Linked DNA regions of Rattus norvegicus. The protein of the gene in region 3 purifies or fractionates together with the protein of the main gene of each other region. This does not show direct contact. Links are inferred from orthologs where the notes say so. Each region holds a gene or a part of one and is shown on either strand. Other genes may lie near its edges.

The links.
Region 1: the proteins of Rpa2 (region 3) and Atr purify together in Homo sapiens (affinity purification with western blotting; 3 studies listed by BioGRID, with this or other methods). This does not show direct contact. The link is inferred for Rattus norvegicus from reciprocal best matches to the Homo sapiens genes RPA2 and ATR.
Region 2: the proteins of Rpa2 (region 3) and Zup1 purify together in Homo sapiens (affinity purification with western blotting; 3 studies listed by BioGRID, with this or other methods). This does not show direct contact. The link is inferred for Rattus norvegicus from reciprocal best matches to the Homo sapiens genes RPA2 and ZUP1.
Region 4: the proteins of Rpa2 (region 3) and Prpf19 purify together in Homo sapiens (affinity purification with western blotting; 4 studies listed by BioGRID, with this or other methods). This does not show direct contact. The link is inferred for Rattus norvegicus from reciprocal best matches to the Homo sapiens genes RPA2 and PRPF19.
Region 5: the proteins of Rpa2 (region 3) and Hltf purify together in Homo sapiens (affinity purification with mass spectrometry, with the first as the bait; 3 studies listed by BioGRID). This does not show direct contact. The link is inferred for Rattus norvegicus from reciprocal best matches to the Homo sapiens genes RPA2 and HLTF.
Region 6: the proteins of Rpa2 (region 3) and Cdk7 purify together in Homo sapiens (affinity purification with mass spectrometry; 3 studies listed by BioGRID and IntAct, with this or other methods). This does not show direct contact. The link is inferred for Rattus norvegicus from reciprocal best matches to the Homo sapiens genes RPA2 and CDK7.
Region 7: the proteins of Rpa2 (region 3) and Parp1 purify together in Homo sapiens (affinity purification with mass spectrometry; 3 studies listed by BioGRID and IntAct, counting the BioPlex papers as one, with this or other methods). This does not show direct contact. The link is inferred for Rattus norvegicus from reciprocal best matches to the Homo sapiens genes RPA2 and PARP1.

What each region holds. Positions count from the first base shown.
Region 1 is NC_086026.1:105,379,066-105,383,071, forward strand, and holds part of Atr (serine/threonine-protein kinase ATR), read left to right. Parts: intron 1-347; coding exon 348-580; intron 581-1,728; coding exon 1,729-1,863; intron 1,864-3,598; coding exon 3,599-3,799; intron 3,800-4,006. UniProt on the Homo sapiens protein: Serine/threonine protein kinase which activates checkpoint signaling upon genotoxic stresses such as ionizing radiation (IR), ultraviolet light (UV), or DNA replication stalling, thereby acting as a DNA damage sensor.
Region 2 is NC_086038.1:31,344,365-31,348,370, forward strand, and holds part of Zup1 (zinc finger-containing ubiquitin peptidase 1), read right to left. Parts: intron 1,849-4,006; coding exon of another isoform or gene 1,666-1,848; exon of another isoform or gene 1,407-1,665; intron 1,375-1,406; exon of another isoform or gene 1,221-1,374; intron 286-1,220; coding exon 117-285; intron 1-116. UniProt on the Homo sapiens protein: Deubiquitinase with endodeubiquitinase activity that specifically interacts with and cleaves 'Lys-63'-linked long polyubiquitin chains. Shows only weak activity against 'Lys-11' and 'Lys-48'-linked chains.
Region 3 is NC_086023.1:150,259,120-150,263,733, reverse strand, and holds the start of Rpa2 (replication protein A 32 kDa subunit), read right to left. Parts: upstream 2,963-4,614; 5' UTR 2,878-2,962; coding exon 2,868-2,877; intron 2,671-2,867; coding exon 2,564-2,670; intron 2,472-2,563; coding exon of another isoform or gene 2,238-2,471; intron 949-2,237; coding exon 847-948; intron 1-846. UniProt on the Homo sapiens protein: As part of the heterotrimeric replication protein A complex (RPA/RP-A), binds and stabilizes single-stranded DNA intermediates that form during DNA replication or upon DNA stress.
Region 4 is NC_086019.1:216,964,985-216,969,533, forward strand, and holds the start of Prpf19 (pre-mRNA-processing factor 19), read left to right. Parts: upstream 1-1,522; 5' UTR 1,523-1,709; coding exon 1,710-1,728; intron 1,729-3,755; coding exon 3,756-3,905; intron 3,906-4,064; coding exon 4,065-4,141; intron 4,142-4,549. UniProt on the Homo sapiens protein: Ubiquitin-protein ligase which is a core component of several complexes mainly involved pre-mRNA splicing and DNA repair. Required for pre-mRNA splicing as component of the spliceosome.
Region 5 is NC_086020.1:104,477,148-104,481,648, reverse strand, and holds the start of Hltf (helicase-like transcription factor), read right to left. Parts: upstream 2,885-4,501; 5' UTR 2,710-2,884; coding exon 2,690-2,709; exon of another isoform or gene 2,630-2,689; intron 1,492-2,629; coding exon 1,284-1,491; intron 1-1,283. UniProt on the Homo sapiens protein: Has both helicase and E3 ubiquitin ligase activities. Possesses intrinsic ATP-dependent nucleosome-remodeling activity; This activity may be required for transcriptional activation or repression of specific target promoters.
Region 6 is NC_086020.1:33,575,213-33,579,218, forward strand, and holds part of Cdk7 (cyclin-dependent kinase 7), read right to left. Parts: intron 2,416-4,006; coding exon 2,266-2,415; intron 651-2,265; coding exon 503-650; intron 1-502. UniProt on the Homo sapiens protein: Serine/threonine kinase involved in cell cycle control and in RNA polymerase II-mediated RNA transcription. Cyclin-dependent kinases (CDKs) are activated by the binding to a cyclin and mediate the progression through the cell cycle.
Region 7 is NC_086031.1:94,856,199-94,860,204, reverse strand, and holds part of Parp1 (poly [ADP-ribose] polymerase 1), read right to left. Parts: coding exon 3,912-4,006; intron 2,704-3,911; coding exon 2,563-2,703; intron 2,026-2,562; coding exon 1,786-2,025; intron 1,578-1,785; coding exon 1,509-1,577; intron 1,302-1,508; coding exon 1,169-1,301; intron 658-1,168; coding exon 462-657; intron 1-461. UniProt on the Homo sapiens protein: Poly-ADP-ribosyltransferase that mediates poly-ADP-ribosylation of proteins and plays a key role in DNA repair.

The DNA.
Region 1 (4,006 bases), on a different chromosome or scaffold from region 3:
TTAATCTTATAAAAATAAGTTAAGTGTGACATAAAGGGAAAGATAAAACTATAGATTTAAAGTACTTGTAATTCAGGAATGGAAAGTAATAGTTTTTTCATTTCTTGATAGCTCTAATACTTTGAAAGATGTCGGTATACATACATACCATAAAACTTACAGCAGATGATGGAAACAAATGCCTCTTCCATGTAAATGCTTTTCCTGTCTACACAGTCTTGTCAGACAGCTAGCTGTGGACATGCAAATGTTGTCTTTTTAAAGCTGTTTTATCAGGGTTATTTTTTCTGTGAAATGAATTGAAATACTGATGTTGTTTGTTTTTCCTGCCTTAAACTTGCCCTTAGGTGGTCGTTCTGATCGTCTGCAAATGAGAAATGATTTGGCAAAAATAAATAGTGTACTCACAGAGCACACAAATCGGTTAGCACCATATCAGTTTTTGACTGCTTTTTCGCAGTTGATCTCTCGAATTTGTCATTCTCATGATGAAGTTTTTGTTGTCTTGATGGAAATAATAGCCAAGGTCTTTCTGGCCTATCCTCAGCAAGCAATGTGGATGATGACTGCTGTGTCAAAGGTAATCATTAGTTAGCCACTTACTGTGTCAAGTTTTTTTTTTTTTGTTGTTGTTGTTGTTGTTGTTGTTGTTTTCTTTTCTTTTTTTCGAAGCTGGGGACCAAACCCAGGGCCTTGTGCTTGCTACCACTGAGCTAAATCCCCAACCCTGTGTCAAGTATGTTTAAAGCAAGTATATAAATACAAATTCCAGGGTCCTGGCCTATATTGTTAGTAATTTTCCTATAGAGAGAAAAATATAGAGTTTAAATATTTTGAGATACTTATCATATGAAATGAAGTTACCAATATGTGAAGAGTAAAGACTTGAGTAGTACTGTCTTTGTGAAGTTTTTAATAAATATTTATAATATAGCCACTTTTTAAAAGATTATTTTTATGTGTATGCGTGTTTTACTTGGATGTATGGCTATGCACCATTTGCATGCCTGGTGCTCAGGCGTCAGGAGAGGAAGTGTTGACTCGCTGGAACTGCAGTTAAGAACAGTTATAAATTGCCATCAGAGTGCTGGGAGTTGAACCCAGTTCCTCTGTGAAAGCAAGTGCTCTTAATCACTGAGCCATCACTCCAGCCATGTGAAGTTTTAAGTGTTTTATTCCAAGATCTTGAAAATCTATTAGCGGGCATATACAAGTTGATTAGTATATTTAATGAGTAAATATTATAGAAAAGTTAGTATAAAGATAAAAGGAAAATTAAAATTCAGACTGTTACTTTTTCTTGTAACTTTTTATGTACTTTTCTAATCCTATTTTAACAGTAAATTTTAATTAAGTTGACAATTATATTTTTACTTAAATATTAGATGATTAAATAACTTTAGTATTAGATAAATTATATAATATTCTTTGACAACACATTTTTGTAATTGGACAAAATTATAAAAATAGCTAACCATTAGTTCATTAAAGTTTTGTTTTATTTTCCTTCTGTTCTGTTGTGCTACGTCTCAAAATATTGGATTGTTTCATCAATGAAGATCCTATCAAAAGTATTCACAGGCTGTATGATTAAAATGGTGTTATCAAATTGATTTCCTAGACGCTTATGTTATAAACTCACATCTTAAATAGTCTTTTAAATTGATTCTTGCCAATCAGCTTTCCTATAGAATTGTATTTAATCCCCACCCCTTTTTTGATTGACAGTCTTCTTATCCCATGCGTGTGAACAGATGCAAGGAAATTCTTACCAAAGCTATCCATATGAAAAAGTCTTTAGAAAAGTTTGTCGGAGATGCAACTCGCCTAACAGACAAGCTACTAGAGTTATGCAACAAATCGGTACGTTCAGATCTTAGTGCACAGCAAGCCATGAGAGATAATATACAGAAGAGTTATATAGAAACTGGTTTGTGAGTTATGCTGTTATGTTTCATTAAAGTTTTAAGTACATCAGTATACACATACCAAAATATATCAAATGGTATATTTTAAATATATATCTTTGTATCTTTTTCCCCGACCCCTCTTCTTCATATGCTAGAGATTGAACCAGAAACCTAATCTTGCTAAACAAGGGCTTTACCACTGAGATATACCTCTACCCCCTGTATGATTTACCTTAATAATTCTGTTGTTTTAATTTGTAACATATGTCCCCCTTTCATATATCCTCAATGTTTCTGAATTTCCCTGAAAGTATATTTTAATAGTTATCAGTAGTTTTAAGTAAAAAATATTAAATCAACTATATAAAATAATATAAATAAATATAAAATATATTTAAAATGCATTAAAAGAGTCTTTGATTATATTGTCATATCCTTAAGTTTTGAAAACTTGCATGTCAGTCTACGTATCAGATAGGAAAATGAATGGAGAGTTTTTTTCTTGGTTAATTGATTGCCTTTAAATAGTGTTAGATATCAAACCCAAGACTTTATCCATAGTAGGCAAGTACTTGATTCATGAACCCTTGATTTTCATTTTTTCAAGGTATATTTCAATGCATAGGCATTGTGATGAAGGAACAAAGATGACTAGTAGAAATCTGTCTGGAATTGCTGGTACATTTGTAAGGAAGTAAGCAGTGGCTATCATCTGGAGTAGTAGTAATTATTTTCAATATGCTTGTGACTGAAGTAGGAAGGTAGATAAAGCAGTAAATCACTGTTCTATGTTAGGATTGGGGGGGAAGCTAAATGTAAGAGATCAAAGTATATGGGGTGATTATTAAAGGGAAAGGTTCTTCATCAGGTAAACCGCTTCATTTGACAATCAAAATCCAGTAACCATTTCTAGGTAAAAAGATAAAGGTTACCCTATTTTTTCCCTTCCTTTCATGAATAACCTATTCTCAAAAGCATAACCTTTCATTATTTCCATTAATTGTATTTGACCTCCGATGTACTTAACACTAGGAAAAATGTACTTATTGGATGCTGGCCCTATAAGTGCTTTACATGTTCAGGTGCTTAGTTCTTTATCTGAAACCTTAGTTTTTTTATCCTAACTACACTTAGGAATTCAATTTTTTTCTCATTTTAAAAGTATTCATACTTACATTGACTATTCTAACTGATGGTAATGTATCAGAATATCCAATAATCAAACACACATAGCATTCATCTTTACATTAAGAAATTCAGTATCGGGGTTGGGGATTTAGCTCAGTGGTAGAGTGCTTGCCTAGGAAGCGCAAGGCCCTGGGTTCGGTCCCCAGCTCCAAAAAAAAAGAAAAGAAAAGAAAAAAAAAAAAAAGAAATTCAGTATCATCTTGTTGTTAAATGAGGTTTGGTAACCAAAAAGAGTTATCTACAGATTTTCCTGATAATAGATCTCTGGTTTCTACTATCTCCTCTGGTCATTAAATACTCCTGTGATAGAGGCACATTATTTATAAGGTAAAAGATTTAAATGAGAAGATTAAAGATACTTAGGACATTGCACACTGTTGAATAATTGAGGTTGTGAAAGTAAAATGTTTAATGTAATTAAAGTTCTGTAATTTAAGGTTAACTCAGAAAAATTGAAATATGCTGTTTGTTTGTTTGTTTGTTTGTTTGTTTGTTTTTAGGTTGATGGAAGTAATTCTACATTGAGCATGAGCACTCACTTTAAAATGCTTAAAAAGCTGGTAGAAGACCCAACATTTAGTGAAATCCTCATTCCTTTGCAGTCAGTCATGATACCTACTCTTCCATCAATTCTGGGTGCCCATGCTAATCATGACCCCTTTCCTGGGCATTGGGCCTATCTTGCAGGCTTCGACGATGTGGTAAACTTCAGTTTTATATAACTATAATATAATTTTTAAATGTAGTTACCTTCAAATTAAATGTAGAGAAGTGAAACTGTCTTTACTGTAGTACAAAGCTAACTGATACGGAATCATAACAAGCCTAACATTTTGATCTTCACATGCTTTTATTTCACGATGACTATTTTCTCATTATTATATTTTCCTATATTTTCTTTTGTCTTA
Region 2 (4,006 bases), on a different chromosome or scaffold from region 3:
AATTTCACCTCAAATTATATAAACTGTTGACTGAAAATGCAGCAAATTCCAGTGGTTTTATTCCTCCAGCGGTACATGCAATATTAAAACTGTGACTTGAATTTTTAAGCACTCACCAGAAGTTTTTGTTTTTCCATCATCAATACCAACAGCGATTGATTCCAACATGTCAGCTTTTCTGCTGTGGAACTCAGATGGATGCATTCGTCCCCTCGTTACTTCTAGCTCCATGTGTCGCAGCTGCTGTTGTTTGTATCCTCCAGAATTATCTAAGCCGTACTGCCGCTGTGAACATAAAACAAGTATCTTATCTTTACGTCCCTGTACTTCGACCACGTGGAAACTTATAACTCTCATTTTTTGGAAATGTATGTTGAAATATTCTGGTTTTTGGATTTTTTCACACAAGTAACTGTAAAGAGTTAATGAAAATTAAAATATACATCCATAACTTAATAATTAGATATTTCTTTAAGCTTCTGTAACCCTTATATAGAATTAGTTGCTTTCCTTATAGTACAAAAATGAAAGACCCAGCTTTTTGTTAAGGTATTAAGAAAAGTAAAATCCCAAAGATACTGATGGTTTCAAAAGAACTTATGGGAACTTGCTATTTGTCCCAACGCTGCTTCAGTAAGGCCTACTTAGTTCACTCACTACTCAAGCATGCTATGTCATAAATGAGCTGTGTTTCTGCAAAATGGACGGAGACTCAAACATCAACCGCCTTTACGGATAAACTTCCTGAGACCTAAACAACTTACAGGGTGACATCATTATCATGGTTAATCTCCATTACCAAGTTGAAATGATTTTAAAATCACACTGAAAACAAATTTTTGGGCATGTCTGTGAGTCTGTGTCTAGACTGGGTTAACAGAGAGAGGAAATCCACCCTAAATATGGCACTATCCCATGGGGTGAGTGGAAAGGATACAGAAGTTCATCCCTCCCTGTTTCCTGGCTATGAACACAATGTGGGCAGGCACAACCATACCCTCTTCCTTTAAGGTGCCTCTGGTCAGTTATTTAATCAACAATGTGTAAGAACGCTTACCAAGGAGTGGGCCTCTACTGACCATGGACTCTTAGGCCTCTGGAACTGGTTTATGAGGAGGATTGTGGATGTTTCAAACTTAAAGCTCAAAAAGCCCTTGAATATTGTGAGCATGGCTTATGGGGGTGGGAGGATGGACAAAAGAGTGGAGAGATGAGAATACCAGGAAGAATGTAACAGTGGCAGCTTGGCTCAGCGGGTGTCAGAGGCAAGGTGGGTTCCCAGCTCCTGCTCCTAGCACCACGTCTCCACACACTCCACCACGGTGAGAAGGAACTAACTCTCTGAAACTGTAAGCAAGCCCTTAGATGCTTCCTTTGTAAGAGTTACCTTGGTGTGGTATCTCTTCACAGCAATAGAATATTAAGATAACTGTAAAAGAAATAAGCACATTAACAGGGAAATGGGCACTGTGCACTGAGATCAAAGGAACCTTTATTCTATCCACTAAAGGCTCCATCTAAAATAAGGGGGCGGGGGAGGGGCGCGGGAGGGGCGTGGCAGGAAACTGAGACTGCCACTGAAGGGTTCTCTAAAAACAAACAAAAACAAACAAACAAAAAACCCTATCATATAGGAAAGTGTTTCCCCATGGTTGACACACTAGGTTAATTACAACTGTGGTCCAAGGGGCAAGGCTCTATCTCCAGATAGTAGCAGAACTTGAATGTTGATGCAGGATTCACTGGGTTTTGCACTATGGCTCTAGAGAGCCACTGAGGCCATGAGTGTGCAGAGTCCTCCCACGGCAGTGTCCCAGCAAGGAGGCCCGGAGAGGTCAGAGAGTAAAGCTGTGAAGGTAAAGCAGAAGTTTGTAAGAGAGATCCTAGGATGCTGGCGATGACAGAGCCATAGGCTGTCTACTGAGGAAAGTAGGTGTAGAGTGAAAATGGCCCCAAAGAAGGCTATTTGAACTACAGGCAGTAGAGCAGGAGAGGCAGGACTACCCAAGCCCTCTGGAGTCCAGTGATTCCATCGCAAGTCCCAGATGCCTAACACGGAGCTACTGGGTTTGGTGCTTGTTCTGCTGCACTGTGCCTTTACACTGGCCTGATATTTCTTTTGCTGTATCATCACTCTTCCTCTTGGAAGCAGAACACCCACTCTGCACCATCGTATAGTAGAAGAACAAAGTGTGTTCTGTAATGTTATACAGGCTAACAGATAGGAGGTAGGTTAAACCTCACTAAGACTCTGACCTTACACTTTCGAACAGTACTGTACTAAAGACCATGAGATCATTTGAAGTCATGTACTTACATGCATAAAACAAGTATATACATTTTTTAAAAAAAAATGTGATGTGTTTGGGTGTCAAGGTAACAAATAGAGTTGCAATAGTACATTTTGACTGTCAACTTGATGGGATTTTCAATAAGCTTGAAGAGCTAGTGGAATGGTTCAATATTGAATCAAATCTCTGAAACCCATAGTAGAAGGGCAGAACTGATTCCCCAATGCTGTTCTCCGATTTCCACATGTGCTCTATGACATTGGAAAAGAAATGCACACAAATGCACAGAAGTAATAGATAAAATAAAAGTCACCATGGAAACAACCCTTGAGAGATGAATATGAGAGAGCTTATAGATTTGGTTAATTGAAATGGGAAACCTAGTTTGAATATGTATTGCACAATCCCATGGACTAGTCTTCCAGACTGAATAGAAAGGGCAAAGTGCACTGAGACCTCTAAATCATTTTATTGCTTCCTTAACTGTGGATGCAGAAAACCCAGCTACCTCCTAATCCTCCTGCCATGCCTTCCTCACTGTGACAGATTGTATCCCCTCAAACTGTAAGCCAGATGAACACTCTCCACTTTATGTTGCTTCTTGTCAGGTATTTGTTTGATCACAGCTACAAGTATCTAACACAATAACAAACTTTTTAAATGTTAGGGACTTTCTGTATTGTTGATATCCAAAAGGCCTTGTATATTTTTACGGTGTTGCGTTTTAAACATGAAACCACAGGCCCTGTTTTGAATACCTGTGTCTCAGACCAAGGTGCTATTTTGGGAGGCTTTTGTAGAACCTGTAGGAAGTTGTGCTTTCCTGGTAAAAAGAGGCCAGTAAAGAGCAGGCCCAATTCCTGTTATACCATTGGCTTCCTGTTTGCTCCACTGTGATGTGAATGGCCTCTCCATGTGGTTCCCACTATGATGGCCTGAAATTGTGAGTCCAAATAAAAATTTCCTCCCTTAAGTTGTTTCTGTAGACAAGTAGGATCACAGTACTGTAAAAAACTAATACGAATGATAAAACACACACACACACACACACACACACACACACACACACACACAATTATGAGGGGCGGGGGAATCCTAAATTAGATCTTCCAAAATATATTTCAAGGAAAAACAGTCATGTGTAAAATGTCTGGGAAAAAAAAAAGAAAATTGTATGTATAATACACAATACTAAAGGCTTTCAGGCAAATATAAATCTGGAAACATTTTTAGATCTGCTCATAAACCCTTTATGGCTTATCCTGTTAACACATACAAATGACATTAAGAACTCTACAGGGGCTGGGGATTTAGCTCAGTGGTAGAGCGCTTACCTAGGAAGCGCAAGGCCCTGGGTTCGGTCCCCAGCTCCGAAAAAAAGAACCAAAAAAAAAAAAGAACTCTACAAGTATTGTCAGTACAAATAACTGTAGTTCACAAATTAGAAATGGAAAGGGAGAAACATTAACATTTTTAAAGCATTAAAATCCCCCACATGCTGCAACTTTAGTCCAATAGATACTACATTCACATAAGGAAAATGCGCCCTCAAAAATCATAAACTACTAAACTCTGAACATCCACTAAAATACAAAATGTCTTCACTGTGTTCTTTAAAGGCACTTAGGACTAAGGAGAGAGAGACACACGACCTTTAAGGAAACAGCTTCTCAGTATAGCGCCCCACCTTCATGTCAGCCGACATTTGCACAGCT
Region 3 (4,614 bases):
TCACACGTGTGAAAATCCTCCTGCCTGCCTTCTGAGTGCCAAGATTACAGGTATGAGCTGCCATGTCCAGTCCAAAGCTTACCTGTTTCTATGCATAGAACACACTCATGAGGAAAACTGAGAAACTACTCTTGCAAGCAAGAGAGGCTCCAACGGAAGAATGCCTTCATACACTTTTTTTTTAAAGAGACAGGGTTTCAATGTGTAGGCCTGGCTATCCTGGAACTATACAGATCAAGCTGGCCTGGAGCTCAGAGGTCCACTTGTCTCTGCCTCCCTAGGGATGGGATTAAAGGTGTGAGCCACCACTGCCCAGCTTTAAAAAATACTTTTCAGAAAATATTGTTATATTACCATTGTGCGTATGTGTGCCATGATCCAGAGGTCTGAGGATGTAGTTCTTTTTCCAGTGTAGAATGTGGAGACTGAACTCAGGTCATCAGGCTTGTGCAAAAGGCCCAAGCATTCATTTCTACCCATAGAGCACGTTACTAGCTATCTACTTTTCGATTAAGCAAGTCTTAATTCCTTTTCCTTGCGTGAATGCATATGAATGGTGTGCACAAATGAGCAGACAGATGTGCAATGAATGCCTCTGCAGAGGCCAGAGGACATTGGGCCACCGGGTCTAGCACTATTGATTTTATTCCCTTGAGACAGAGTCTCTCTCTGAACCTGGAGCCAGCAAGCCCCAAGGATCTTCCTGTCTCTGACCCTACAGTTTTGTAATCACTCCTGGCTTTGTACATGGACATGGATCTGAGGTCTAGTGCTCATGCTGGCCCCACCATCTTTCCACCCCTTATATCCTATTCCTGCACAGTCCTTCCACAAAATCTCACATACCTGTGAAATCTCGACATCCCCAATTTTGAACACCTCATCAGTCAGAGTAGCAGAGAGCAGCTGAGATATGGTACAGGGCACAATGTGCTGGGCTCGGGCTCTCTGCAAAGAGAAAGGACGCATCACGTCAACCTGAGAGAGTAACAACCATTCACCGAGGGTCTCCATGTGCCAAGCACTCTGTATATACCACAATCCAGAAACTTCAAACCAAGTTCTCCTTGCTTCAAAGAGACAGAAAACAAGGCCAGAAAGTTAACATTTGACTCCTCTGCCTCTCCCCTTAAGTGCTAGGGTTCACAGTGTTTGCTACACATGGCAAATGCCACACTTTTGAATTCACATCTACACTGATCTGATACTAGACCTCCAGGTGGAGAGATGTTTGTATCATATTGTGGGTTCACAAAGAAAAGGTCAGACTAGAGTCAGGACAACACAGGAAAGCCTGCCTTTAGAACAAACCTTCAAGAGCACATCCCAGGGCTAGACAGTGGTGGCCCATGGCTTTAATCTCAGCACCCAGGAGGCAGAGGCAGGTGGACCAAGGCCAGCTTGGTCGACAGAGTAAGTTCCAGGACAACCAGGGATAGACACACACGCACACACGCACCCCCCTCTGTCTTAGAGAAGTGAGGATAGCAAGAGCAAATCCCAGATACAGCAAGAGCAAAGTGTTCAGGACACCACAGAGGCAACAGGCAACCTGTGTAGTCCTTGACGTAATCCCTACAGTCAGGAGAGACAGGTAGTAGGGTCACCACAAATTAATGGTCTACACACAGCAGGTTCCAGGCAACACACAAATGGGTAGTAAAAACTTGTCTCAAAAACAAAACGAATGAAACGGCACAAAAGATAAGCCTTTAACTCAACACTATCTCTGCTTAAGCAGAGTACTAATGTAAACAAAAGACCACATCCTGATACATTATGGAAAGAAGCCCCTTATTTGGGATCTCAGAATGTTTACTGGTAATTTCAAACACCAGAACGTTTCCCAACTATCAGGGAAACTGAGGCAGAAAGGCAGGAGAATCACCTCAGCCCTATCAGCCTAGGCAACAGAGGTACATCCGATTCAAAAAAAAAAAAAAAAAAAAAAAAAAAAAAAAAAAAAAAAAAAAGGTAAAGAACAGTTAACCACAAGTTAAGGGCAATTACTCAGTAAGCCTTAGAGACTGCTTGCTCCCTACCCCTAACACTATGATGAGCCTGGTGGCCATACATCTTTAGTCCCAGCCCCAGAGGTAGAGAGGCAGGTGGATATCTGAGTTCCAGGCCAGCCAGAGCTACACTGTAAGCCTGTCTCAAACAAACATCCCCCAAACACTTGGTCATACAATGACTACGTTCTTCCTGTCAAATTCCAACAGGAATGAACCCCAAACCTGTTCTGAACACAGTGGACTCTTGTTCTTTAGGCTTTTTAGTAGTCCCAGCTGTGGATGGGCACCGCGACATTTAACTCTGCAAAAGCATACTTTCTGAGCGGTAGGGCAGGAAAGTGGAGGCCGGGCCAACCACAGCACGCTTGCCAAACACTTAGAGAAAACGGTTACCCAGTTGACCAGACAAGAGAAAAAGTAGGCAACCCACAGCTTCCGAACCAATTGGGGTGCCATCCTCCCCCGCAAAACCACGTTCCCTCCTGGACCAGTGAGGACCTTCGGGACAGGAGGACACAAATGAGAACAGAGCGGGTCACTCTACGTACTGATTTCTTCTCTGCCTGCGACGGTGTGGGTGACCCGAAGCCACCGGGGGACTGCGTGTAGCCGCCCGCTGCGCCATAGGAGGAGCTGCTGAAGCTTTCGAATCCGCCTGGTAGTGAACGACAGAGTCAGAATCTGCACGGCGCTCCCCAACTCTGTACCTGGCAAACGCTGTCCCCACCGCCCCAGCCACCACAACCCCCCTCCCAGCCCTCAAATGCCACCGCCCCGGCCTCCGGCCTCTCGCTCCCGCCCTGCCCTCCCACGCGCGACTCTCTGCCTTCTCTCCCGTATGCCCGCCATTACTATTCCACATCCTGGTCGCAGTTTTCCTGAGAAAGAGGCCAAGAAGTTTGGACTCGGAAAATAAGAAGACTTAAGAAGTGTTTGCCGCTCCGGCGTGGCGGCGTTGTAGCTACTTTGCACTGGCGCCACAAATTCCTTCCCGCGAAGAGCCAGCTAATCAGCGCCTGGGACACATCTACCTTTAGCCAATCAGAACTCACGAATCTCACTTTTTCCGGTATCAAGGCCAAGCTTAAGAAAAACACACGGCCCCAAGAAGAAATGGAAGCCCGCGCGGCCATCTTTACTGAGGGCGAATTCCTGACAGGACAGTATTCAAGAAAACAACCAATCAAAACAATACTTCCTGGGCCAACCAAAAGTTCTCCTCACCCCCCCATCCCCGGCGAGTGCGCAACTCCTTACGTCACTTCCGCCGCTCGCTAGCTAACCCCTCGCCCCCCATTCCCGCCAAACTGCGAGTTTGCCTTCAAAGCTGAATCTCAGGAGCTGTGGTAGAAGTCACACTTTCGACGTTGGTGCTCGGTTGTGGCATGCCATTTGCAAACTTAAGAGACTCAGTACTGGGGGCTGGAGAGATGGCTCAGCGGTTAAGAGCACTGACTGCTCTTCCAGAGGTCCTGAGTTCAATTCCCAGCAACCACATGGTGGCTCACAACCATCTGTAAGGAGATCTGATGCCCTCTTCTGGTGTGTCTGAGGACAGCGACAGTGAACTGTACATTAAATAAAGAGAGAGAGAGAGAGAGAGAGAGAGAGAGAGAGAGAGAGAGACTGACTCTGACTCAGTACTAGTCTCACAGGTCATCGTGGGATTACTTATTTTCTATAAGAAATTAAAATCTCCAAGTATAACGACTTACTCTCAGAACTCTGGCAGAAGCAGGAGGATCTCCATGAGTTCGAGGCCTCCTGGTCTGCATAGCAAATTCCAGGCTAGCCGGTGCTACATGATGAAACCCTGTCTTAAAAAATGAAATAGGGGCTGGAGAGATGGCTCAGCGGTTAAGAGCGCCCGACTACTCTTCCCGAGGACCTGAGTTCTATTCCCAGCAACCACATGGTGGCTCACAACCATCTGTAAAGAGATCCGATGCCCTATTCTGGTGTATCTGAAGACAGCTACAGTGTACTTATATATAATAAATGAATAAATCTTTTAAAAAATGAAATAAAAGAAATGAAATTTTTCCTGTAGAGTCACAGATCGTTTCCAAGATTGTTGCTCCTATAAGAAACCTCATGGAGGCCAGCAAGATGGCTCAGCAAGCCAGGTTACCTGAGGTTGACCCCAGAGACCTGCAGAGTATAAGGAGAGACTCAACTGTTAATCCCACTGAAGGAGTGTAAAGAGCGTTAGCTCTTTTTTTTTCTCTTGGTGAAATTAAACAAGCTTTATTTTGTTAGACATGGCTACCTCCCCAAATAGGTGTTTGAGAAAACACTGGACACAGAAGGTGAGGTTTATATTAGGCCCCCCAAACTGCAAGAATATGGGCGTTTTCAAGGGTTACATAGTAATTTGGCCAAACATTTCAGTATTATTTGGCAGAACATCTATCAGGGTGAAGGTCAGGGTATAGGATGTGGAACCTGTCAAAATTCAGAAAATGGGTCAAGACCTGGTAAAATTAAGTTTTACAGAAATCAGGAATGAACTTATTTTGAGGGTATAATAAGATGGCTTCTGATGTTAAAACAGAGGCAAGCTGGTCCATCGCAAGCCCCACAAGTTGTCCTCTGCATA
Region 4 (4,549 bases), on a different chromosome or scaffold from region 3:
GAAGGTCAGAAAGCTAGTTTTAATTTGGTAACATGGAACTCCAGTGTGACTCACTCCATTTTAGTTTTACTTTATCTACTTACCTTTTTTCTGAGGTAAGTTCTCAATGTGCCACCAAGCCCAGACTATTTATTTATTTTAGTGTGTGTGTGTGTGTGTGTGTGTGTGTGTGTGTTGGAGGATAATATGCAGAAGTCAGTTCTCTCCTTCTGCCACGTGGGTCTTGGTGACTGAACTCAGGTATCAGGCCCAGCGGCCGGTCTGGTTTTTGTTAGAGAAAACATAAACAGTTGGTAGGTGGCGGGGAACCGTTGTTCTAACAAATATCGGAGGCAGGCTACTTTAAAGAAAAGAGGGCCCTCTTGGCTCAAAGTTCTAGAAGCACAAGGTTCACAGGGAATGACACAGGCAATGTCTAGGGCCTCTTCTGGTGTCACAACTATGGAAGTCAACTCATGCATTTGTGCCTGTTCACTTTCTTTCCTATAAGAACCCCACCAGGATTCTTGTTATGTCCTATTCTAATTCCAAAGATCCCACCTCTAAATGCCACAGTTAAGCCAGATAGTAATGACACATCCCTTTGATTTCAGCACTCAAAAGGCAGAGACAGGAAGATCTTTGAGTTTGAGTCAAGTCTTGTCTACAGACTGAGTTCCAGGACAGCCAAGGGCTATACACACACACACACACACACACACACACACACACACACACACACACACACACACAAACCCTGTCTTGAAAAACAGAAACAAAAATGAAACCACAGAAAAACACCATAGTCCTGTTAACTTTCCACTCTTACGGTTTGTTTGTTTATTGGGACATGCTTTCTCTACACAGCCCTGATTGTCCTGGATTAGAACTCACTGTACAGATCAGGCTGGACTTGAACGCGGAGTTCTGCCTGGCTCTGCAGCTCAGTGCCTGTGCTTAAAGACTTGTGCAAACACACCCATCAACTTTCCATTCTTTTAAATATTCACATAAACGCCAGGAATTAAATTCCCTCGAGTTTAGAAAACAGACTATATTTAAAACGTAGCAGGCAACGAAGCCAGGGACTTGCCCAAATTCCCAGAGCAAGAGTAGAGACAGAACCTAGACAGTGTTAGCTTCTTTACTCATTTGTGCTTTATTTACGGGGTCACATTGTTTCTCAAAAGGCAGCCAAGGAACACAGGCTCAGAATCATACCTACAGACTCTCTAAGGCAGACCCTAGGAATCTGCATTTTTACAAGCTCCTGAGAAATCTGTCCTGCACACGAACATTTCAAAGACTAGTGTTCCCTGGGTGACAGCAGCTCCGCCTCAAAAACAGCCTTGGCCAGATTCCTAGGTTTAAGATCCCCGCAGCCTCATGGGAAATGTAGTTTCTGCTCTCCTTCCCGCCTCAGGCCTCTTGGAAAACTCGCCGGAAGAAGCCGAGCCAATGCGGAAACAGCCGAGTGTTCCGAGGCGGGCCTTTTCCTGCTCGGTTGCATGCTGGGAAAGGGCAGTTTCCGTTAGCTGCAGAAGGCTGAGGCGCGCCACCGGCCACCTCCCCACGTGAAGCAGTTGTGCGAGCATCGCCACGCCGGGCAGCTGTCTACCCGCGTCCGAGCGCTCCGGAAGCGGCGGGGGACCGGAAGTGGCCCGCGGAGGCTGCAGAGCTAGTCCGGGAACCCGCTGTGAGGCGACTGGCAGCAGCGCTACGACGGCGCCATGTCCCTGATCTGCTCGAGTGAGTGCTGGCTGCGGCGGGAGGCGGGAGCGTGTGCGGCCGCTGTGGCTCGGGCCCTAGAGCCCCCGGCCCTGCGTGCAGGGTGCATTTGCGCAGTGATGCGCAATTCACGTAGCTGGGAAGAATGACTGTCTCAGGGGTCTTTTGAAGCCAGCGTCGTTTTACAGAGCTGAGACAGGCCTGAGCAGAAGTGGGGGGAGGAGCTGGTGCAGTGAAAAACAGCTCTTGGTGTCAAAAACCCGAGGACGTGTCCAGGATCCGCCTCCGACTGTGATCTGGGCTCTAGCGGGTTTGGGCCTCAGTTTCCCCACCTGCAAAATTGAAAGCATTGCAATGGATATTGCTTGGGAAACCTCGCTTAGGAATTGGAGTTTCTGATTTGCAGAGATCATGCAGTGACTTCGAGACCAGGGCTGGAAGCCAGGTGTCTGGCTTCTAGCCTCGCGCAGTATGACTAATGAAAACAGCGAATGTTTAGAAAACCTGTATTGATTTACGATGCATTTCCAAACGGTGATCTCATTTTATGCTTACAAGAATTGTCTGAAGGGAAATAAAGATCCGTGTGTTACAGAGGTTGTCGGAAGACTTGAAGAATGGGTTTATCCAGGGGTGTGCGACGAAACTAAGCCATGGAGCTCGGTTCTTTGAGCCTGGATCCATGGTTTTCCCATGTAGTATATGGTCTTGTCTTTGGGTGTTGTATTACGGCATTGCGGGTGTTCTCCCAGTTGTTTACCCCATTACTAGTTTCCTCACTTTCTCTCTTTCCCTCTCAGAACGTTGCCATTAATTCAAAGAGGGAAAGGAAGGAGGGAAATGACAAACAGAAAAGGAAGTCTCATAGTGAAGAAATAGCAGTTTGCAAAGTATTTATGAACGATTTGTTTCCTTTTCATCTTTGAAACAACACTCTTACATGCCCAGGGCCATCCTTCCTCTGGTAGGAGAGGGAAAGCTCTCAGAAAGCTTCAGTCGTTGAGTAGTGAGATAAACCTACAGAATAGGACAGGAAAGCCATATACAAAAATAGGGATTTTAAGTACTGAAACAAATACTTAATTACATGTGCATGGAGTCCTGCAAAATTAAGTGACTCTAAGGGAAGACACTGAGAAGGATAGGAGCTTGAAGCCTTGGGTTGTTGACTCACAACCTATGGGAAGGCGAATAGAATTATGTGATGAATAAGAGCTGTTTTGTGATGTGATAAGTCACTATCTTAGAGCGGCCTTCAGAAGAGTCTGATGTGGAGGTAGCTTTCACTTGTCTGCTTGAGTGATCCAGTTGTCTTTTTTAGGGGAAGGTAGAGAAGCAAGGGGGGTCTGAGAAGGTCAGAGAGACCTTGGTTCTTGCTTTTGAGGCTTTTTTTTTTTTTTTTTTTTTTTTTTTTTTTTGGTAGTTTGGCATGCCCAGGGCTCCATACTTTGGGATATTCTTTTCTGAGCCCCAGTACTTTTGCACTTATTTAATCTGCTCTGATGTTTATCAAGTGTGTGCTTCGCTTCTGCATTGTCCTGGAGGTCAGTGACAGCTGTAAGTCCCATCTTCAAGGGTACACAGACTATTCTGTCGAGCGCTTAGAATAGAATTCTGCCTGGCACGTAGTAGCAGAGCAATGGAAAGTTTTTGTTTGTTTGTTTTTAATTTATCAGTGCTTGTCACATGGCTTTGTAATTTCTCTTGTTGATCCATCTCGGGCTCCCGATGGATGACAGAAGTTTGAGTTGTGCTCTGTGTACTTCTCTGTCATGTGCCTAGTCATCTGGGTTCAAAAAAGAGATCGACCACTCTATACCGCACTGGCACATAGGATCTGGGCAGTTATTATTTATTGACTTTTATTATCAGCAGACCAGAGATTCTAGGTAAGTAGTTGGCAAGCATTGTGGGACCAAGTACAGGCAGGCTTGCTGTCACAGACCTTGCTTCCTGATAGCTGACTATAAAGGACAGGGTCTTGTTGGGGCTGACACAGTGAAGAGTCTCCTTTTACCCTGTGGCTCACTACCTGTCTTTCTCTATAGTCTCCAACGAAGTGCCAGAGCACCCATGCGTGTCCCCTGTCTCTAATCATGTGTATGAGCGGCGACTCATTGAGAAGTACATTGCAGAGAATGGCACAGATCCTATCAACAACCAGCCTCTCTCAGAGGAGCAGCTCATCGACATCAAAGGTGCCTGCCCAATAGCCTTGGTCCAAGGCCATCTCAGCTCAGCCTTCAAGAGTGGGAGGTGGTGCCAATCTGGTGGAGAAGATGGTGGCTGTGAGTGGGGGAGGGGAAGAGTTCCCGGGTTCTAGTTCTTCATACCTGCTTTGCTGCCTCTCTTGGCAGTTGCTCATCCAATCCGGCCCAAGCCTCCCTCTGCCACCAGCATCCCAGCCATTCTGAAAGCCTTGCAGGATGAGTGGGTGAGTCTGTGAAAAGAATGCACCTCCGGGGGCTGGGGATTTAGCTCAGTGGTAGAGCGCTTACCTAGGAAGCGCAAGGCCCTGGGTTCGGTCCCCAGCTCCGAAAAAAAGAACCAAAAAAAAAAAAAAAGAATGCACCTCCGGGCTAGGACCTGAGGATTGAACAGATGAGGCCTCCCTCCCTCCCTCTTTTAATGTAGTTTTATGTTGTGTATGGCCTTTTGCTTACATGTATGACTGTGTATGACTTACGTGCCTGGTGCTTGGGAGGCAGGAGTTGGTGTGTGATCCCTTGAACTGTAGTTATGAACAGTTGTGAACCACCCTGTGGGGTTTGGGACTTGGACCTGAGTCCTCTGGAAGAACAGCAAGTGCTCTTAATTTCCGGGCTCTCAACTCTCTGCAGGC
Region 5 (4,501 bases), on a different chromosome or scaffold from region 3:
TCTTAATGAGTGTTAATATAAAAATATGAAAAGGGCTAGAGAGATGGCTCAGCAGTTAAGAGCACTGACTGCTCTTCCATAGGTCCTGAGTTCAATTCCAAGCAAGCACATGGTGGCCCACAGCCATCTGTAATGGATTCAATGCCCTCTTCTGGTGTGTCTGACAGTGTACTCACATAAATAAAATAAATTTATAAATTTAAAATAAATATGAAAAAAATGAGGGAAGGAGAAAGTAAGAAATCAACAAGATTCCACAAAAGAGACCTTATTTTTAAATATACACATCTATAAAAGGAAATTAGAATGGACTTTATAGCCCATAGCAGCCAAAACTAATATAATAACCCTGTCTTGAGCTTAACTGGAAAAAATCCATTTTAAATTACCAATAAAATGCAATTATTGAGTGCTTATTACACATATGGGTTAATTCCATTAATAAAAATGAAATGTAAAAACTGTGAGGGTTCTTTAAAGATGTCTTTTATTTCTAACCATGTACATGTGTGTATTGGGGAGGGTAGTCATGTATGCCAGAAGAGGGCAGTGGACACCTGGAGCTGTAGGTGCTGTGAGTTGCCAGCCATGAGTCCTGAGACCAGAACTGCAATTGTCTGTACAAGCAGCAAGAATTCTTAACTGCTGAGTCATCTCTTCAGCCCCCAAACTGCATTTTAAAGAGATATACACTGAACTGTACTAATGTAAAGTGATACAACTGGTATCTGTTTTTACAAGACCAAAAACAAGAAAGCAAACATAGAAAATACTTACTAACCACTGATCTTATTCTCATTTTGTTTGAAATTTTCTCGTAATAAATTAGATAACATTAAAATTATATTACTAAATGACAAAGATGAAACTAATAAGGATTATTGTCCAAAGAAAATTATATATATTCTCAATCTGTCCCCTTTTCTTTCTCTCACACACACATATACACACATTCAGTTCAGAGAACAGGAATGCATTAGAAAGAGCAGGAAATAAAAGATAAAAACTAAATGCAAAACCTGGTGGCTTTAAAGTCTTTTTTTTAAAAGTCATTTCTTAAATTTACCACATACCTCAGTAATTAGAAGGATCAAATGTGTGGGCAAAAGTACTTTATATACTGCAAGCACGGTAGAAATGGTAAAAAATTGGTCAAAGTTGGTAAAGGTATTCATGACTAACCTTTCATTCAAAGTAAAACATTAATTGTATATATCACCTTTTAATATAATTTACTGTTAAAACCATAAAAATACAATTTTATTATCTAATCCTATACTTACAACTCCTGTGTAATAGCGTATTCCAACAACTTGTCCTCTCATAGTTCCAAATAAAACCAAATCTAGCTCTTCATCACTAGTTTGGAAGTCATCTGGAGGGATAATGTCTTGGAATTCAAAACGTGGAAAGAAAGGTGGGTATGAAAGTCTTGGAATATTTTCATGGGCTCCATACTGGGCAGACTGTGAATACTTCCAAACAGAATCCCTATTTTAAAACAAAACAGAAAGCTAAAACCACAGAACTTGATTAAGTTTTCCCTCCTAGTTTCAGGCTGATCACTTCCTTATATTTTATTTTAGCAAATGAAATGCTATGTGGCAACAATCACTTAACAATTTCCCTGAATAAATCAAGAATCCAGTGGAGAAGGTTATCCGAAATCTGACCTGTTAGATACTGGAACTGCTTTCCTGGTGAAAAGAAAACTATCTAAAGTCGGAAGCTACAATTACAATGTCAAAATTTTCGGTGCCTACGTGATGAAGAAGAAATGGATTTATAAAAACAAAATAACCATTACAAGATTTTTTTTTCTTTTCGTTTTTTATTTCTCTTTTCTCCTCTCCCTTCCCCTCTTCTCTTTTGTTTTTTTTTGAGACTGTGTTTCTCTGTGTAGCCCTGGCTATCCTAGATCTCACTCAGTAGACCAGACTGGCCTCAAAGTCGGAGATCCATCTGCCTCTCCCTCCAAGGTACTCTTAAAGCCACGTGCCACCACTGCCGGCTATGAAAATATTTTTGACTTTTGACATAAATACATGCACAGCATCTTCTGCTTTAACTCCTTCTGAACAGAACACATTAAATTGGGTATCTAAACTTGGGACATCATAGAGAGCTGACCTGAAGCCCCTTTACGTATACATCGCCCTATTATTTTAAAGGATAGGGATAATTATTGCAAGAATTGGAAAAAAAAAAAAAAAAAGAATTGGGCATGAAGACCACTATAGATGATGAAAAGATGCGTTTGCTGGAAGCCTCCTAGAAGTTGTCATTCTCCTAAAAACACACAGGGCTATCAAGTAGCGAGTTTCCCTTTCAGCTCCTCTGCAAATACGTTTTAGTAAGCTTCTGCACAGTACCAGGAGACACACAGGATCGGATTGCCATAAAATGGCTAGCAAACATTGGGATAACAATGGTGAATAAATCATTCCGGTCGGGTTTCAGATCCCCCCCTGCAGTCTTTGACGCAGATTCCCCGAGGTCTTAGCAGCCGATTCTCGGGTCAGCCGAGACAGTGCTTTGGTACCTCCACCACAACACCAGCAAGAACCCGCAGAAGGAATGAAAACAGCACCACAGGAATACAAGCTGCACCTATTGCCCGGGCGCGCACCTTCACTTGAGCAAAACGCAGAGAAACTGGCCTCACGCCCAGCCCCCCTCAGCCCTTCACCTCTTGAACTTCCAAGACATGGCGGGGGGCGGAGTGGCTTTGGAATGCCCTGGGCACCCCGGATCTTCTCAGACCGTCTGAAAAAGCTCCTCAAGGTGTAGCGGCCCAGGGGCCGGAAAGCAAGTCAGAATCTGGAGGCCACAAGCTCCCCGGGAGACATGTCTACGCCCACTCCTTCCTGCAACAATGTGAGGAACCAGTGACGTTCGGTGATCGGCACTGCGAGTGCCCAATCGAAAGAAAGAGTCTGAGAAAACCAACCAATAAGGATACGTGAGGGTTGGGAGCTCCGCCTTGTGCTGCGATTCAAAGGCGGTGTGGCGCGCCAGGGTTCCACCGAGTTCTGACGTGGTCGGAAGCGAGTTGCGCGGGAAAACATCGAAGCGTCTAGAATGAGGCACCTGGCTCAAGGTCATGACGGACTTGGGGCAAGAACATGACTTCTAGCCACTGCCCTGATGCCTCAAGGATATTCTCATAGGTCAGACCCTCTCTCTATCTGATGTAATGCCTAACAGGGCCTGCCTCATTTCTTCTCCTGAGCCCTGACTATATTTGTTCTTAGTGACCTCCGTGTATGCGAGACCCTGAGTTTTGGAAATCTGAGTGAGAACATACAAATTTCCCTCTCCCACCTCGTTTTAATCTTGTTTAAAGAAATTTTCTTCCCTTGGTAGAAGAAAGCCATAAAATAAGACAACCTTACAATTCCGTTGCTGACAAAGGCAGACTGGTCCAACATTAGTGTAAGGTCTGAGGTGGTGGCTTGGGCCACATGTATTTTCTCAGGAAACTGAAAGAGGCACTGTAAAGAAATTTTAGAATCTAAAGGGACATTCCACTTGGAGTTTTGTGTGCACCAGTATCAGCCACGGTAAAGGTGATTCCTTGGGGGGGGGGGGGGGGGAGAACCCTAACGTATTAAGAGACAATCTGTGCTGGAGGCAAATGTCAATAACCACGGCCTGGGAACACAGATTTAGACCACCCCAAATGCTATATTTCAACTGAAGCAGTTTCATGAAGTTTTTATACTAACAGAACAAGGAAAGTCATAAATGAAGATACTTTTCCAATACATTTGGTGTGACCATTAAGTAGGTGGGAAAAAGTATAATGAAGAACCTCTATTAGAGGCCTAAGATACTCGACATTGTCCTTGGCTTTTTAGTTTGTTGACAGGTAGTGCTGTTTGTACATTCCAAATTATTTACCCTGTGGTCATAGAAACATGTTAAGTACAGAGGAGGACAATAAATGGCTACTAAGAAGGCTAAAATGGCTCAAGATAATTTGGCTCTGGGTTTGCAGCATTCCAAACAGTGCACAATCATAGTAGCTCAGTTAAGGGGCCTTGCAGAAGATTCATTTGGCGGGGCATCATCTTTCCTGGGATTGTTGTGCGTGCTAAGCAGGCATTCTTCCTCTGAGTTGCATCTCTAGCTGTCACTGAGAATCTGTAGAAGGAAGTATTTCATTCCCCCAACAGGAAACTTAATGCAGATGTTTCATTTTCTTCAGTTATTTTACCATCTTCATGGTGTTTTATAATACAAATGCAGAGGTGGGTTTTGGTTTGGGATTTTTCAGTAGTGGGTATTGACTCTTAAGGCCTGTGCAAAATAGGCAAGCTGTCTATCTACAAGAAATACCCCCAGCCTTTATTTTATTACAAGGACTCAAAAAGTTACCCAGGCTGGGGATTTCCCAGGACAACGTAAGGCAGAAGCCTCAGTCTCCACAGTAGCTGATAATCTTTGTATGTGTCAAATTAATAAAGCTATCTATGCTCATTGGACTAAATATTACCAA
Region 6 (4,006 bases), on a different chromosome or scaffold from region 3:
CCATCTAACTAGTGAGTTCCAGGCCAGTCGGGGACATACAGTGAGAGCCTGTATCCAAGGGGATGGGGATGCGTGTGGGGGGAGGGCTACAAACTTGGCTCAGTAATGAAGAGGACTTCTGCTCTTCCAGAGAAGCCAAATTTGGTTCCTGGACAAATGTACCTGACAGCCACCTGCAGTGCCAGCTCCAGACTGAATGAAGCCCTCTTCTGGCCTCCACACATATATAACATATATTCACACACAGCCACACAAAAGTGTATTTAAAAAAAAAAAAATAAACGGGTTGGCAAAGGTGCAGGATAGAAGGCACACATCAAGGACAGCTCTTAGAACTCTCAGGCATACTCAAAGTGCCTCAAGTGTCCTTGGCTGAAGAGAAGAGGAACACATTCTATTTCCTACGTAAACAACTGAACAGCTCTTTTCCTAACTGGCTTCCAGTGCCAGCGATAATGAGCTGTAGAGCTTTCTGATGTCATTTATCGATGGGGACTGTTACCTTGTTCTAAGGCCTCCGCTCTTTTCCGTTTTGTCGCCATGGCTGGATTTGACTGTTCCTTTAATGCTTCCACTGGACAGTTTGGTCTTGGAAGCTGGCATCCAGGTGTTGGCCCTGGACGATTACTGAAGTACTTGGTCCTCAACGCCTTTTCAAAGAAAAGAAAGCAAGGTCTTATTCTTTTGTCCTATTTTGAGACAAGACGTCACTGTGGGGCACTGGCTGGTCTGTAACTTGTAGCTGTCTTCCTCCAACTTGTCTCTGAGTGCTGGGTACATAGCCATGTACCACCATGCCCAGCTCAAAAGGGGTGCTTTAAATGTTTGTACTGTGAGTAGGAAAATCTAGTCCCAAATTGTTGACAGCATTAAAAATAGTATGCAAATACTCTTATAGCACCAAACAAAAAATTAGCATCAAGTATTTGGACACAATACATAAATAAACACCCAGTATCCTGCAACTGGCTGATACTGTTGGCGGGGGATGTGGTTGGAGGATAGAAGTGGCACACTCCCTTCTAACATTTGTACAACCACAAAGCCCAAACTGGAACCAATAAATTACAAAACAATAATCTACTGTGAATGGTAAAAACTTGTTTGGGCCAATCCAAGGTTGCTTTAACCACTAGAGTATAATGTTCTAGAATTTACAGTTTTATATAAAAGTGGTTTCCTCTCAAATGACAAGTTTGTCAACTAATACCTATTTATAATATGCCAGTACTGTTAACAGCCACAGTGATTTATTTACTCTAGACTCTCTCCAACAGTCAAGAAGATCAGGTACTCTTATTTATAAAATGTTTTGAAGTATAATATTTTGATTATATTCCCCCCCTTTCCCAACTCCTCCCAGTTCCTCTGCGCCTACCCATCTTCATACTTTCTCTCAAAAACAAATAAACAAAAACAAAATGAAGTATTAATCTCAAGTATTTAGAGGGCACAGGAAGGTGGATCTGTGCGTTTGAGGCCAGCCTGTCTACAAAGTGAGTTCTAGGACAGCCAGGGCTACATGGAGAAACAAACACTGTCTCTAAAAACCAAACAAACAAAGAAACCCCAAAAGCAAAACCAAACCAAACAAAAAATTTACAAAAACCCAAACCTGACAAACTGCAGGGAGAGGGGGTGTCACACCTTGGCAGAGGCAGGACAGCCTGGTCTATAGAGTGACTTCAAGGACAGCCAGGACGACAGAGAGAGAGACCCTGCCTCAACTCCCCCTCCCCCTCAAAAGGAAGAAAGAGGTAAGAAGTTACCATTTCCAACTATGTCATACTGAAGTCAAGGCCAACTTGGTCCTGACTCAAAAATAAAGAGCTCAAATGAAGCAGGCTGGAGAGATTGCTCAGCGGTTAGGAACAATGGCTGCTCCTCCACAGGACCTATGTTTGGTTCCCAACATCCGCCCTTCAACCTTCTGTAAGTCTGAGTCAGGGGATCTGATGCCTTCTTCTGGCCTTTATGGACACTGTACATACATGGTGTATAAACATACATGCTGCCAAAACATCCATACACATAATTAAAACAATCCATCTGAAATCTGTCAGTGGCGTGAGAACACACACACCTCTAACAAGTGTAAACTCTTATGTGATGTTTGCATAACAAGACTTCCTATCAGCCAGACACTGTCTATAGCTTCAGGAAAGGACACAGACACACACACCAAAGATAGACCTCTCGCCCTGGTATTTAAGGATATTAAAAACTTTAGAAACCTGAGTTTGTTTTATTAATGCTGCTGAGTACCTGTGAAGCTGTAATTCTAGTACATGGGTTGAATAAGAACAAGCCTTGTATGAGCTCAAGCAGGTCGTCTCCAGCTGCAATGAAGATGTGCTGCAGGGGGATGCCAGGGAAACTCTTGAACGTCACGTAATCTGGAAGACTACACATGTCCTGAAAGACAAGTAGGATTCAAATTTAAGTAACGTATCCAAAGACACAGAAATGGAAGAAAGTAACAAAATGTGGCCTGTTAAGATAGTCTGTGTAGAAAATCCTAAGAAAACTACTCATAGAGAAAAACAAATTAGAACTGGTAATATGTAAAGAGTAGAAGACATAGCATAAATGTATCTTAAAATCATAGTTCTACAGACCCACAACAAACATGTGAACACAAGAAAGAATGGATTCTCCAAAAAACAGGGTTAAAATTCTGACATTTTACACATGTAAACAAGTTAATCTGAATTTTATATACAGAAGTAAAAGTCTAGTTAGTTGAAAAAATTTGGAAAAGAAACTAGTGTTAGTTCTTACATGTACATATTTTAAGACCCAACAGAGCAACTTCAATTCATACTGTGTGCTAGTGATGGAGAGACAGGGGGATCAGTGGAGTACACAGCGAACCCAAGATCCACAAGTATCTGCCAAGCACAGTTCTGGAAAGGCATGAAGGAGTTCTGTCAAGCCTTTCCAACAAACAGTGCTGCAGCATGTGGACACCAAGCACGAAAGTACAGCTCGGGATAGGTAAGGTAATGCCCTCCATAATCCCACCACTGCAAAGACCACATAGGAAGCTGCAGGCCCTAATCAAACAAACAAACAAGAAAACCAACCCCAAATAAACCAAAACCAAAACGTTCATTTAGGAAATTGAGAAATAATATGAGACATTCCTTAGATATTAACTTTAGCTTTGGATATTTTTGTTATAGTTTTAACAAGATGATAAAAATTCTGCTTAAAGTGTCCACCTTTCTTCCTTTTTTGGTGAGAGAGGGAAGCAAGAACTTGTGTGGTGTTTATATGCCTGTGCTATCTGACTGAATCTAGAGTTAGGCTATAGCACTAGCCAACCAGCAAGTCTCCTTGCCTGTGCCCACAGGGCTGTGCCCACAGGGCTGTGCCCACGGCAATGGGGTCAAGGCATGCTGTACTTTTTTTCTCTCTTTTTTTTCTAAGGTTGCTGAATATTGGAATTCAGGCCCTCATGCTTGAGCAGTAAGTACTCCTAACTACTAAGACATGTCTACAGGCCCCAGAATTCATTTTCTTCACATTTATTTGCTCCTCAGAGCTTGGGACTACAATGGGAATAAAAAGCCAAAAGCTTCTCAACTTTAAGAATCTAAGTAAGGGGGCTGGAGAGATGGCTCAGTGGTTAAGAGCACTGACTGCTCTTCCAGAGGTCCTGAGTTCAATTCCCAGCAACCACATGGTGGCTCACAACCATCTGTAAAGAGATCCGATGCCCTCTTCTGGTGTATCTGAAGACAGCTACAGTGTACTTATATATAATGAATGAATACATCTTAAAAAAAAAAAAAAGAATCTGGGTAAATAGTAACAGGTTGTTGTTGTTGAAAGCCAAGCCAACCCAAGGCTTTCTCAGAGGCCCAGACAAAAAGACAGAGAGAGTTCTGCATCCTTGCTGAGGGACAGACTCAATTCTGGGGCTGGAGCCTGGGCTTGAGGGAGTTAAGGGCTCTAGGAACCCGACTTTAACCCCCAAAGAAACTGGCTCCTGAGCACCTGG
Region 7 (4,006 bases), on a different chromosome or scaffold from region 3:
CTGACAACACTTGCGACTGCACACACCTGTAATCCTAGTGCCCAGGAGGCTGAGGAAGATGTGAGTTCAAACCCAGCCTGAGCTCCCTCCACTCCTTTCTTACTCATTCGATGCTTTATGGTATACATTTTACAAAATGTTTTCTGTGGCTCCCACACGCTCATGTGACGTCTACCCCTCACTCACAGGGCACACTGAAATGTCAACAACCTCAAACTTGTTTGTATTGTACTTGAGCTTGGTGTACAAACCTCATACACGGCCTGACTTACTAGTTAGGATTTTACGTTACAGAGATGGTGTTCAGCATATTCTTCTGATGTTCTTTGGTAACACTGGCCTCATGGAATGAGTTGGTTAAGTTTTCCTCCACTTTGGGGGGAAGAATTCGTCACCTGGTATTGTTAACTCTTCTTTAAACATATCTGTGGAGTTAAAGGAACAGACCTTACTGTGATTACCTGGCCATAGTCAATCTCCAGAGGGTAGAACTTCTTGGGATACTTTGTGAAGTTTTTCGAGTGCCAGGCATTTCCAGTCTTCTCTTCGTATAACTTCATGAAGTGTTCAACAGCATCCTCTTTGGACGGCATCTGCTCAAGCTTGTTACTGCCGATAACTGTGCCCACTCGGCCCCAGGACCGGAAGATCCAATACCTGTAAAGGGACAGAGACCAGGGTGAGCTTCTGTTCTGTTAGGCCCTCCTCCATAAGGGGCAGCATTAAAAGCACACTCTCTCCTTCATGTGTTGATTGAGTGGTGCTGCAGGTGGAACCCAGGGCCTCGAACACACTAGGCAAGCATCTATAACTGAGAGAGGATGTTTAAACTATAACCTTCATTCTAGTGATCAGCAAGTGTGGAATAGCATAAAACGATAAATTTGAAGTCAGGTGTGGTAGCGCACGCCTTTAATCACAGCATTTGGGAAGTAACAGGAAGGTGGGCCTCCGAGTTCGAGGCTAACAGAATAGCCCAGTGGATCAGTGGAGCTACACCCGTGATGGTTAAGCAAGGCAGCATAAGTGATACTCAGGAGTGGCTATTTTTTATGGAGGAACTTCAAACGCTATAGGCTTTTGTGACCGTTTCTCTTGCTCCAGGCCCTGCAGCGGCCTGACTTCCACAGGTGGGCAGCACACACTCAGTGTGGAGGCCCAGGCTCACCTGCTCTCCTTGTCGGACTCCAGAAGTTGCAGTTTGTAATAGGAGTTAGTCCCTTTCACAATGTCCACCAGGCCAAGCGTGGCACTGAACACCTTCCCGCCTTTCTCCAGGACATGTGCAGAGTGTTCCAGACCTGCCCCAGAGACAAAGCTCCTATGGTTTTCTCCCTTGAAGGGAGAGGGTGAACAGAGGCCTCATGTCCCCAGCTAGTTTCATGTCACAACACCTTTAGAGGTACCCACTGACCCTCATGCGTCCAGGACTGGCCTGCTCCCCTCTAGCTACCCTGACTAGAGACATCTCCTAATCTCCCAGGGCATGGGAGGCTCTGATCACTCACCAGAGTCAGGATCAACGGCTGCTCCTCCCTTCAGAGTTAGTTTCATCCTCTTTTCAGACTTGTTGACACCTTGGGAAGGAAGGGACAGAGGAACACAAAGACTCCACTTAGGCAAAGGCAGAACAGTTTCCAGAGGCATCTGTCATGGCACCTGCACACCACCTGTTGCCCCACAGGGCCTGCTGCTTTGTGTCCGCTCACTGAACTAAGGATACTGCTCGCCACAGCACCTTAGGGACACAGAACCAAGGTCACAGGTAGGGCAGGTGGGTCTCACCTTCCTCCTTGACAGCACCCTTGCTCTTCTTGGAGGGTGCAGCTGACTTCCCCTTGGGGACCACCACTTCACCAGGCTCTACCTTCACCTCAGCCCCCCACGAGGACAAGCTATGGGCTGAGAGCAGCTCTTGGAGGCTCTTAGCTGAGGCAGACACATCCTGGAGGAAGTCCTCACACACGACTCGAACATTGGCTGCTTTCACTTCCTCCATCTTCTTACTCATCTTCTCCACCTCCTCTGTTTACAACCAGACAGGGAGAAATGAAAACCTCAACCGATAAGCTGAACGGCTACCTTCCTACAGTCTGAGAAGGCCAACGACCCCATGACCAACAACTTCTCTCCCAAGCTGTACGCTGAACCTCATCTCAGCAGTCACGCTCCAGTGGTACTGGCTGTCCCTCTGGTCCACAAAGCCAAGGGTGGCCACCTTCTCTAAATCCTGAGTGTGGTGTCAGGAGGCACTCAGCAGAAATGGACTCTTAGGCCCAGACCATAACACTTAGCAGAACAGTCTTAATATAAATGTGGGTCTGGCATCCATCACCAGACCACAAAGTGGTAACCTCCGCCTGCCTACAAAGGAACCCAGGGTCATCCATGAACACTGAGCAGTGTAAGCTTATGGTCTGACTGGGACCAGGAGCCTGTGTGAACACACGGAATACAGTACAAATACCAGTTTTACCTACAAGCTACAGTGAGAAGTGTCTGACCCTAGCTGTGCCACAGAACCCTCACCACCTCTGAGAGGCACGCGCCCGTCAAACTTACTCTTAGTGCTGATACACAAGGAGGCCTTGTTGGCAGATCCTGTCAGCTTGCCTCCGAGTTTCTCAATCATGGCCTTTGCTTCGTCCTTGTTCTGGGAGAGCTTACCAAGAGTCAGGATCTTCATGTTAGACAGGGGTTTGTCTGGGGTAAGAGATCAGAAGCGTCAGGCTAAGACCATTCTACTGCGCTCTCAGGAAAGGATGAACAAAGGCAAGACAAAACAGCTGGCTCTTCAGGAGAGGTCAGAGTCTGGCCAGCCCTGGCCTTTACTCTTCTCTTAGGGAAAATCTTCTGAAGAAGACAGAAGCAGTAGGGAAACAGAAGGCAGAACAGCAAACCCAAGACCCCAACCCATGAGTGTGCAACAGAGAAAATGGGGTAGGGCATAGGCTACACAGAGAACAAATGGGTGATCCATGCTGGCTACCCTGGGCCTGCTCAGGGGCAGACTAGAAAGGCTGAATCTAGAGATGAGGCCAGAATGCTCAGAAGAAGGTGGGTGGTGAGAGCTCTGCGTCCTTCCATACTCTTCCTCCCAACTCCCGAGTAAGAAAGCACAAGCTGACCAAGCTGAAAGGTCTGATCAGTATGGCCACACTGAGTTAAGCACCAAGTACCCAGCACTGACTGCCAGGTTGGCATGGATGGATGGGCCTCTGTGAGTGAAACACAGCACTAGTTATAGTCAGGCCATGGCCTCTGCTTCAGATCTCACAACTGGGAGATCTAACTGCTCTTTCTAGGGGGTGGACAGTGAGGACACCACCTGCGTTCACTGAAGTCTCTGTAGAGAACAAAATCACTGATTTAGGTGTGAACTGCAAGCAAGGAGACAGCAGAGAAAGGGTCTGTCAAGGAGGAGCAGAAAGCAGGCTCTAACTGACCACATGTGTTTGCAGACCCCAGGATTCAAGCAGCGGAGAGGACTTGGGATAATGAGTTCACCATTAAGGGCAGACTAGGTGCAGCTGGGCTAGTGCCCAGAAGCAGAACCTTGTCCTCTGCCCACACCAGCATGGCCTCTACAGCCTTTAGGAGTGTCCACATGCCTGAAGGAGCAAGTAGCACTCTCCTTCCCAACAAGGCACAGTGATTCACTCTTATGTGGCCTCGGTCATGTCTATTCATGACCAGGGTCTCCCCAGGCTCTTGATGGTCGGTAGTGCAGGGAGGACAAGGGGCCTGGAGACTGGGGATGTGGTTCACGGTACACCGGTTGTATATTCTGAACACACTCTAAGGAATGTTAGTCACATGGTACACAGACCACAGGACATCCACTATGCTATGTCCTTGCTTGGCATGACTCATAGGTTGAACCCAGCCCATAATCCTTCCTGGAGCCATACCTGCTGGTGCAGAGGAGTTCACAGCTGTGGGTGCGGAGGTGATCGAGACGGGAGGTGCTGGTGGTGCTGGGGCGCTGCTCTCTGGAGGGAACAGC